2 linked regions of the Cricetulus griseus genome follow. Each later gene encodes a partner of the first gene's protein in a complex. Links are inferred from orthologs where the notes say so. Each region holds a gene or a part of one and is shown on either strand. Other genes may lie near its edges.

Region 1 (4,151 bases):
CTACCCATGCTTGGTTTAACCCCTGCCTGATCTCATACCCTTTCCAATTTCATACATGGGGAACTTTTTGTTCACTAGTCAGTTCCTGCTGATCCCCAGCAGCCTCATCAGTATTTAGTGATACAAAACTTGTGTGTGTGTGTGTGTGTGTGTGTGTCTGTCTGTCTGTCTGTCTGTCTGTCTGTCTGTCTGTCCCCAGCCCTTCAAGCCACTCCACTAAACTGTACACGGGGCATATTAATTTTAACTTGGTAGGACATTTTTCCAAGAGAACAGATGTTTTCATGTTTCAGAAATCAGTTCCCCCAAAATCTTCTCCTTAGAGATTCAAACACTTAGGTACAAACCGGGTTTCACTGTGGTTGAAAGAAAAAAGGGAAATGCTTCAATTCTAAAATTGAGCCAGTTTTTGTCTTTATTGCATAAAAGTCATTTAGATCTGTCCTTTCAAAACACAGTATCCCAAACTTTGAAACCAGCAAATGAGAGGCCACATGTGGCATCATCAGTGATTCACTGAAGGGTTCCTTTTAGGAAATACTAATTTTCTAGCACAGTATTAAGTAAATGGGGTGGATTTTTATGCTGGACCCCATGTTAACCTGGTACAATTAAAACCACCACCTGACCTTTAATTCTTAAAATCCAATTCAGGGCATGCCTCTCCACTTCAATGTATTGTGGGCATAAGATCTCACACGTAAGCGTCTGTCACTATTTCTTTGAAAAGCTTTGTGCCTTGGGGATTTGTATTAAGAAAACACGATGAAATGTTACAAGCTGTGATTTCTAACATTTCCTGGATACCTGATGAACAAAACACTGCCAAGCCCAAGTCCTCTGCGGGAGAAACATTTTAAATAATACATATACATATACATATATATATAAGCCGAGAATGTTGAAGGCACCTCTTCAAGGAAGATAAAAAGAACAATCACCCTATGTCACCTAAAATGGTTTACCATTAAACTCTCTATATAAAGGGTTTTTGTTTGTTTTGTTTTGTTTTTTTAAGGCCAAAACGCTGCAGCAATTCTGACCTACTTCCCACTACAAACAAAGGCGGCATATCCTAGCTGTTACAGTAATAACACTCGCGGATTCGAGAAAGCAGCTTCCCGGCTCGGAAGCGAAATTTCGGCGTGAAGGGAACCTAGAAATAAATTGAGCTCCGCATGCGGGCGCCTCTCGCTCGGGAGCACGCACCTCCCAGCCCCGCGCTCAGCAGCTCTCACTATTTAAAGCCGGATCTGGTGTTTAAATGGAGAGGCGGTGACGTAGGCCTGAAAAGCACCTTCCCATCCTGGCAGAGTCTATATTAGAGAGCGGCAATGGCTCTATATAAACAGGGCAGCCAAAGGGAGGAGGACCACAAGGCGCAGGCACTGAAATGCAGGGTAAGCGGCCGCAGCCATGATGGATCTACCCGAGTCGCCAACGGTACGGTGTCGGGCAGCAGCGAGCTGCTCTGCGGCGTTTGGGACCGGGCAAAAAAATTAAAAAAAAAAAGAAACAAAAGAATAAAACAAAAACACGTGTTTTATTTTCATAATTAAAAAAAATCAAGTTGGGGGTGGCCTAGTGATCACACTGCGTTGGTGACTATTGAAAAGGTTATTTCTTTATGTGACTGCTTTTTGCAAACCTACGTGGATCGCAAGGAACCAAAAAAGGGAGCGGCGGGAAGAAGTAGGCAAATTTCAAGGCGAATGCGTGGACACTTGGGCCAGTCACTGTAAGGCTTTGTTTGTTCTGGTGCTTTTGCTAGTCGTAGGTACCACGGGTTTTTTTTCTTTTTCTTTTTTTTTTTCTTTTTGCTTCCCCTTCGCCATTTTACCCACTGGGGAGGAACCGAGATAAGTGCTTTCCAACCTTCATTTTTTTTTTCCTCTGGTTTTTTTTTGGGGGGTAGGATTAGCAAAATCGGCCCCAGCGCAGGCTTTCCAAAGCACCACCTCCAGAGAGCCCCCGAAGGCACGCCGAACTTGGCAGCGTCCGAGCGGCTGGCTCCCCAGGCTCGTGGGGGGGGGATCGACCGACCCACGGCCGCTCCGCTCGGGGGCTGGCCGGGTCCGGGCCCCGCGTGGGGGTCGCCGCCCACCTGTCCTCGCCCCGGGGTCGGCAGCCAGGGCCCAACGGCCTGCGTGGCCCGCCCCCGCGGCGCTCCCGGCCCCGCCGCCCTCCGCCCGCCAGCCCTCGGCGCCCCCCGCCCGGTCAGGCCCGCGGCGGCAGCGGCAGAGGCGGAGGAGGACGGAGGGAACCGGGTGGGGAGCGCCGCCTCGCCCGGCCCGCCCCCGCCCGCCCCGGCCGTTGCCTGCCGCCGGAACCTTCGCAGCCCCCGCCGGCCACCGCACCACGTCCTTACCACGGTGTTTGTGTTTGCCGAGTTCGCCATTTCCACACACAACACAAACAAGAGGGAACGAGATTTAAAAAAAAAAAAAAAATTAAAAAAAAAAACTTAAAAAGAGACCCGGAGGGTGACCCAAGTCACCCGCAAGAGTGGGGCGAAAATTTGTTCAACAAAACCGATCCTGAGGGAGTCAAGAGGCGGGAGAGCAGGAGGAGGGGGGGCAACTCCTCCCGCGGCTAAAAGCCTCGAGAATCGCCCTCAGGAAAAGAAAAAAAAAAAAAAAAAGAAGAAGCCACGACCCCTCGGGGGTTAGGGGGCGTCGCCCGCTCCCCACTCGGCGCCGCGGAGGGAAACCAACACCGGTCACCGCTCCCAGCGCCGCCGCCGCCGCCGCTGCCGCCACCGGCTGCAGCTCCAGCCGTCCGGTCCGCCTGCTTCTCCCCTTTATATAGCGAGCCAACAAGCTGCGCGAGCCGCCGCCGCCGCCGCCGCTGCCGCCGAGACACAGGGCGGAGGCGGAGGGGCGGAAAGGGCGGGGCAGCGGGGGGCGGGGCCGAGCGCGAGACACCGCGAGAGCCGCGTGCGCACGCGCGCCGGGGCGTCGCTCGCCCCGGGGGCTGGGGCCGGTGGGCGGGGCCGCGGGGACTAGAGTAAAAGAAGGCGAGCCGCCGCCTTTTTTTTTTTCTTTTCCCTCCGCCCCGCCCGAGTCTCGCGTGATCACGTGGTCGGCACACGGGCGGAAGCGGCCCGCGGTGGTGTGCCGGGAGCGAGGTGGCCGGGAGGTGGGAACGGAGGAGGCTGGTTGAGTTAGTGTCCGCCACCCAGTCAAGAATTTGGGGGTACCTAACACGGCTTCGGGTGGGCGCCCGACGCCGCTGGATGGAGTAGCCTAGGGGGCGGCGGACTCTTTAGAGGGAGGAAGGGAGGGAGGGCGCGTCACGAGGTCCCGCTTCCGGGCCCCCGCGCGCTGGGGCTTGGGACAGTTTTAAATGCGGAGTCATCTTTGGATTCGTGAGCCCAGGTCAAACGGGGAGGAAGTTGGCGCCTCTTGCGAAGGACAGAGCGGTCTGCGAAGTTGTGTGCAAGTGGCAAGGAGATGAAAGCTTTGTGCTCATTACGCTCTCCACGTTCCGGAATTAGGAACTCCTGAAGGCGTTTTGAGCTGTTTGTCTCTACAGATTTAGGCTATAAAGTGGTTTGGTTTACCGTAAGTACCCCCCCCCCCCAGAGATTCAGCCTCTACCATCCCAGGTTCCCTAAATGACTTCTTAGTGTGGTGGAAAGGACGAAAAAGGAAAACGAACTCGGATACAACCCACCCGAGTGTGGACCACCCGTCAATCTTAACCGCTTCTGTTCTGTCACGTTAGCAAAGTAAAGGGATTTGCACATTGGCCAGCACATGGTGACTAACCACATCTGAAATCCATGCCCCTGACTCACCAACTTGCCTGGCCTGTCACTTAACAAGAGATCAGGCAGATTCTGCTTCTATCTTAGCATGCAATTATCAGCAGATGACCCTTGACATCCAACCAAATCCTGCCTCGGTATCAGTAGTTCACAGAACAGACTCCTGTTCGGTGGGCAGAATTTAAGTGACACTTTTCCTGGTCCCAGGGACTTGAGAACAAATAAAATGTAATGTGAAAGTGTGAAGTTTATATTCAAAAAGCAGATCTAATCGAGCTACGTCATACTATTCCGTGAAGCCAGTATGTGAATATCAAAAGACTAGCAGAGCAAGTAAAATGTATAGCCTGCTTGTGACCTCGGGGAAGGGATTAGAAAAGAC
Region 2 (4,116 bases), on another chromosome or scaffold:
GTGAGACCAACCACCATCTGAGAATCTGACATCCTCCAGCATCTCCAGACATACAGCCCTGTTCTCAAGACTTAAGTATTACTTAGTGATCAGCACTTGGAAGGCAGAGTCAGGCAGAACTCTGTGAATTCTAGGACAACCAGGGCTACAAGAGAAACCTTGTCCTGAAAAAAAAAAAACCAACTAACCAACCAACCAACCAGCCAACCAACCAAACACCCCACCCCACCCCCCCAAAAAAAACCAACCCAACCAACCAACCAAATTTATAAAAGAAAGAAAAGAATCACTGTTTTTAGGGTTGATGGTATCCAGGCCAGGCTGCCACAGACTGCCTCCACAGGGCTAGCTCGAGGTTCAGGCAGCCAATTTAAACAAACCACACACACATACACACCATACCTAACACCGTGCTGCCTCCAGTGAATTGGGTATAGGGCTTACTGGTACCATAAAAATAAACATTCACTTAGAGAGTATTTTAGGAGTGTAATAATTAGGGAATTGAATATTTCCCCAAAGAGCACTTTAAATCTGCTATATTCTGTTACTATCATATCCAAGAACAAAAGCTATTTGGGCACTTAGAAGTTGGGGGAAACATGGGTTGGAGGGATGGCTCAGTGGTTAAGAGGTTCCCAGCACCCATGGCAGGTGGCTCACAACTGCTTGGAACTCCAGCTCCAGGGGAATCTGAGACCCCCTAGTCTCCTCTAGCACCTGCCTCCACCTGCACAGACCCACACACAGAGACATAATTAAAAATAATTTAAAAATTTAAAGTTAGGGAAAACATCATAGAAGCAACACTGCTGTGATCCACATCTCATTTTATGAAATAACCAGATCACCCCTTAGAATTTCAGTGTTACTCTCATCAGTGGCTGTTCACTGAACATCTTCAATAGGAAGCAAATACTAACAATAAAACCCAATCCCTCCCATTTCATTGCTCGCAGAATAAGACTATGTGCTTACAGAGGCTTCACTTAAATATGTACCTAGTCATTCATAAGCAAACACCTGCATGTAAACAATGAAATTCAGAAACCAAATGGTGTTAGAGCCCAGTTCTCAAATAACCGGCATGGACACATGGAAAAGAGGTCAGAAGACCAGACAATGATAGGCTCAACCTGCTCTGCCCTGCAGTACTTCCTCAACCCAAGCAAGGGCACACATCCAAGCTTTCCCATGCCTTTATTCTACCTCCCCACCCTCCCACACCCTGGCAGGTGAAAACTCCTAGCCTCTAAAAACCTTGTGTGTCTACAGATGCTGCCACTCCCTCCTTTTGAGCTCCCTCCCTCCCTTCCTTCCTTCCTTCCTTCCTTCCTTCCTTCCACTGTCTGTCTGTCTCTCTCAAAAAAAAAAAAAAACAAAAAAAAAAAAAAGAAAAAAGAAAACCTGATGAAAACCCCCCAAGACACCTGTCATTTTTTGCCTTGTGTTTGCCCATGTCTTGTCTCTACACCTAGCTTGGAATGTACATGATCTACACATGCAGAGGAAGTAAGAGATCCATTTTTTAAAAAGAGACTTTTTAAAAAGTGGTATTACAAACACACACAGAGTATTATTCAACCATAAAAAAACAAAAGTATGTCATTTGCAGGAAGAAGTCATAAAAATAAACATGCTTTCTCTCATGCGGAATCTCAACTTTTTTAAATTTTTATTTTTATTTATTTTTTGAATCTCAACTTTTAAGAAGGGAGAATTCGGGGCTGGAGAGATGGCTCATAGGTTAAGAGCACTGGTTGTTCTTCCAGAGATCCTGAGTTCAATTCCTAGCAACTACATGGTGGCTCACAACCATCTATAATGAGATCTGGTGCCCTCTTAAGGCCTGCAGGCAGGACACTGTATACATAATAAATAAGTCTTTTAAATAGAGTTCCAGGCTGCGAGATGGATCAGCAGGGTAAAGGCACTTACTTGTCAAGACTTGAGTTCAATCCCTCCCACAAGCTGTACAACCTCCACACATGCATATATACGTAAATAAATATGTTTTAGAGAAGAGAGAGTCAGAGACAAGAAAATATTGCAGGGTACTATCAAGAAGGCCGGGAGACAACAGTAGTAGGGGAATAAAAGGAAAGGATGGGGAAATGAATACAATTCAAGTACTGGGGGGGGGGGGGTCCGTGAAAATGTCCTAACGAAGCCCGTTATTATGTACAATTAACATACGTTTTCAAAAGACACCCAAATCCAACACTGACTTAAAAGTAAAGGCGCGATATCTACACGACTTCGGTAATCCCGGGTATCATCTGTTAACGAGTCCTAGCGTCTACATCCTATGGATAAGGAGGCCGCAGCTCTCAGCTCTTTGGTAGTGCTTAGTCTTAATTTATCTGTTGCTTTCGGGTAGTCAGAACTGTGCTGGGATCCACACTGCCGAGCAAGGCGCGCACCAAGGCTTGCTGGCCCCGGCGGCCCCAGCCCAGCGTGCAGCACCGCAGTGTTCTCAGCCCCCCGCCTGGGGCCGAGGGGCAGCGGCAGGGGCCCCGGGGGAGGGTCGCATACCTATTATGGGCACCTCGGCGATGAAGACCCTCCGAATGGAATTGGCCACCCTACAGGAGGAAAGCCAGACCGTGTGAGCGGCCCCGAAGCCACAGCCCCGCAGGGGGCCAGAGGACCCGCCCGCCCGCCTCTTTCCCGCCGCCTTACGCCAGGTCCGTGTTCTCGATGATGAATTTGACGTTCTCTTCGGTGAGTTCCGTGATCCGCACGGTTGGCTGGTTGGCGTACGGCATTGCGACCCGCAGCCAGTCTCCCGAGCCAGTCCCGCAGCGCGCCTGCGCCGCCACCAGCAATTTGTCGGCGGGGTCCCTGGCGCTTCCGGCTAGGCGTGCGCGCAGCGCCACCTGCTGACCGGAGGCCGAAACTCTCCTGGTCTGCGTTTTCTAACCACACTCTCCAAAATTTCTGCTTCCAAAAAGCACCAGGCCCTACACTCTTGGAATCCCCAAGATATATAGCACAAAGGTCAAAGGTACATGTACAGGGTTATTCATACCAGTGCTACTTACTTGTAATTGCTAAGAATAACTCATTAGGTAATGATGGATGGAGACTTGGTTAAACATACATACATATGGGGCTCAATGGTTAAGAGCACCGGCTGCTTTTCTGTAAGACTTGGATTGGATTCCCAGCGCCCGAATGGCGACTAATGCCTTTAACCCCAGTTTCTGGGGATCTGATGCCCTCTCCTGGCATGAAGGCACGAGGTATGCACATGGTGCACAGACATACATGCAAGCAAGACACCCGTATACATAAATAATTTAAAAAATATTCTATGCCTGTTATTCTTGGATCTGGATGTAAACAGCTCTCAGCTACTTCTCCAGCACCATGCATGCTGCCATGCTCCATGCTGCCATGATGATAATGAACTAAGCCTCTGAAACTATATGAAGCAAGGAGACATTTGACCAGTAGTAAGAGGGCTTCTCTTACTAATGTGAAAGAGAGATGGCAATTTGACACATTTGTTTGAGGGGGCATCTGCTGGTTTCTGGAAGAAGGATCAAGGTTCTAAAGATTCTCAGGGGAACCATGTGAAGATAATACAGTTCTTACCTCTCATCAAAGAAATTTTTCTTTGCAAAGGATGGAGACCATTACAAAAACAAAACATCAAGAACAACAACAACAAAAAAACCCACAACCAGTTAAAATTGCAGAGAACAAGAGACTGTTGTGTGCTCAGTCTCAACTGATACATCTGCAGCTAATTCAACACCCAAGGCTCAGGGATCCTTGAGGAAGGAGGAGTGGAATGACTGTAAGAACCAGAGGAACGTTACGTTTGCCGTGAGATTGTGTCTCCTAGAAATGTTACAAAGGCTACACACATCAAGTCTCACCAACATTACTGCCTAAATGAGGCTTGAACAACGACGCCAATGGACATGTTAACATGGAAGGGAGAGGGATCTCAACCCTACACAAAGAACCGGGGGATGCTGAAAGTGGTAGAAATAACCTTCCTCAGGGAAGAGCCCTGCAATGGGTTATCCAATATAATATCAAAAGCCCCAGGATCATATAAATACAGGTAACATTACAAGAATTGAACAGGTTGTATTCATGTAT

Evidence for each region. The genes of interacting proteins can lie anywhere in the genome.
Region 2: Gtf2a1 (region 1) and Polr2c share a complex: the UniProt entries of both Homo sapiens proteins name them as parts of the TBP-based Pol II pre-initiation complex. The link is inferred for Cricetulus griseus from reciprocal best matches to the Homo sapiens genes GTF2A1 and POLR2C.

The regions. Positions count from the first base shown.
Region 1 is NC_048598.1:113,312,133-113,316,283, reverse strand, and holds the start of Gtf2a1 (transcription initiation factor IIA subunit 1), read right to left. Parts: upstream 2,820-4,151; 5' UTR 2,399-2,819; coding exon 2,369-2,398; intron 1-2,368. UniProt on the Homo sapiens protein: TFIIA is a component of the transcription machinery of RNA polymerase II and plays an important role in transcriptional activation. TFIIA in a complex with TBP mediates transcriptional activity.
Region 2 is NC_048596.1:171,079,506-171,083,621, reverse strand, and holds the start of Polr2c (DNA-directed RNA polymerase II subunit RPB3), read right to left. Parts: upstream 2,841-4,116; 5' UTR 2,769-2,840; coding exon 2,683-2,768; intron 2,586-2,682; coding exon 2,536-2,585; intron 1-2,535. UniProt on the Homo sapiens protein: Core component of RNA polymerase II (Pol II), a DNA-dependent RNA polymerase which synthesizes mRNA precursors and many functional non-coding RNAs using the four ribonucleoside triphosphates as substrates.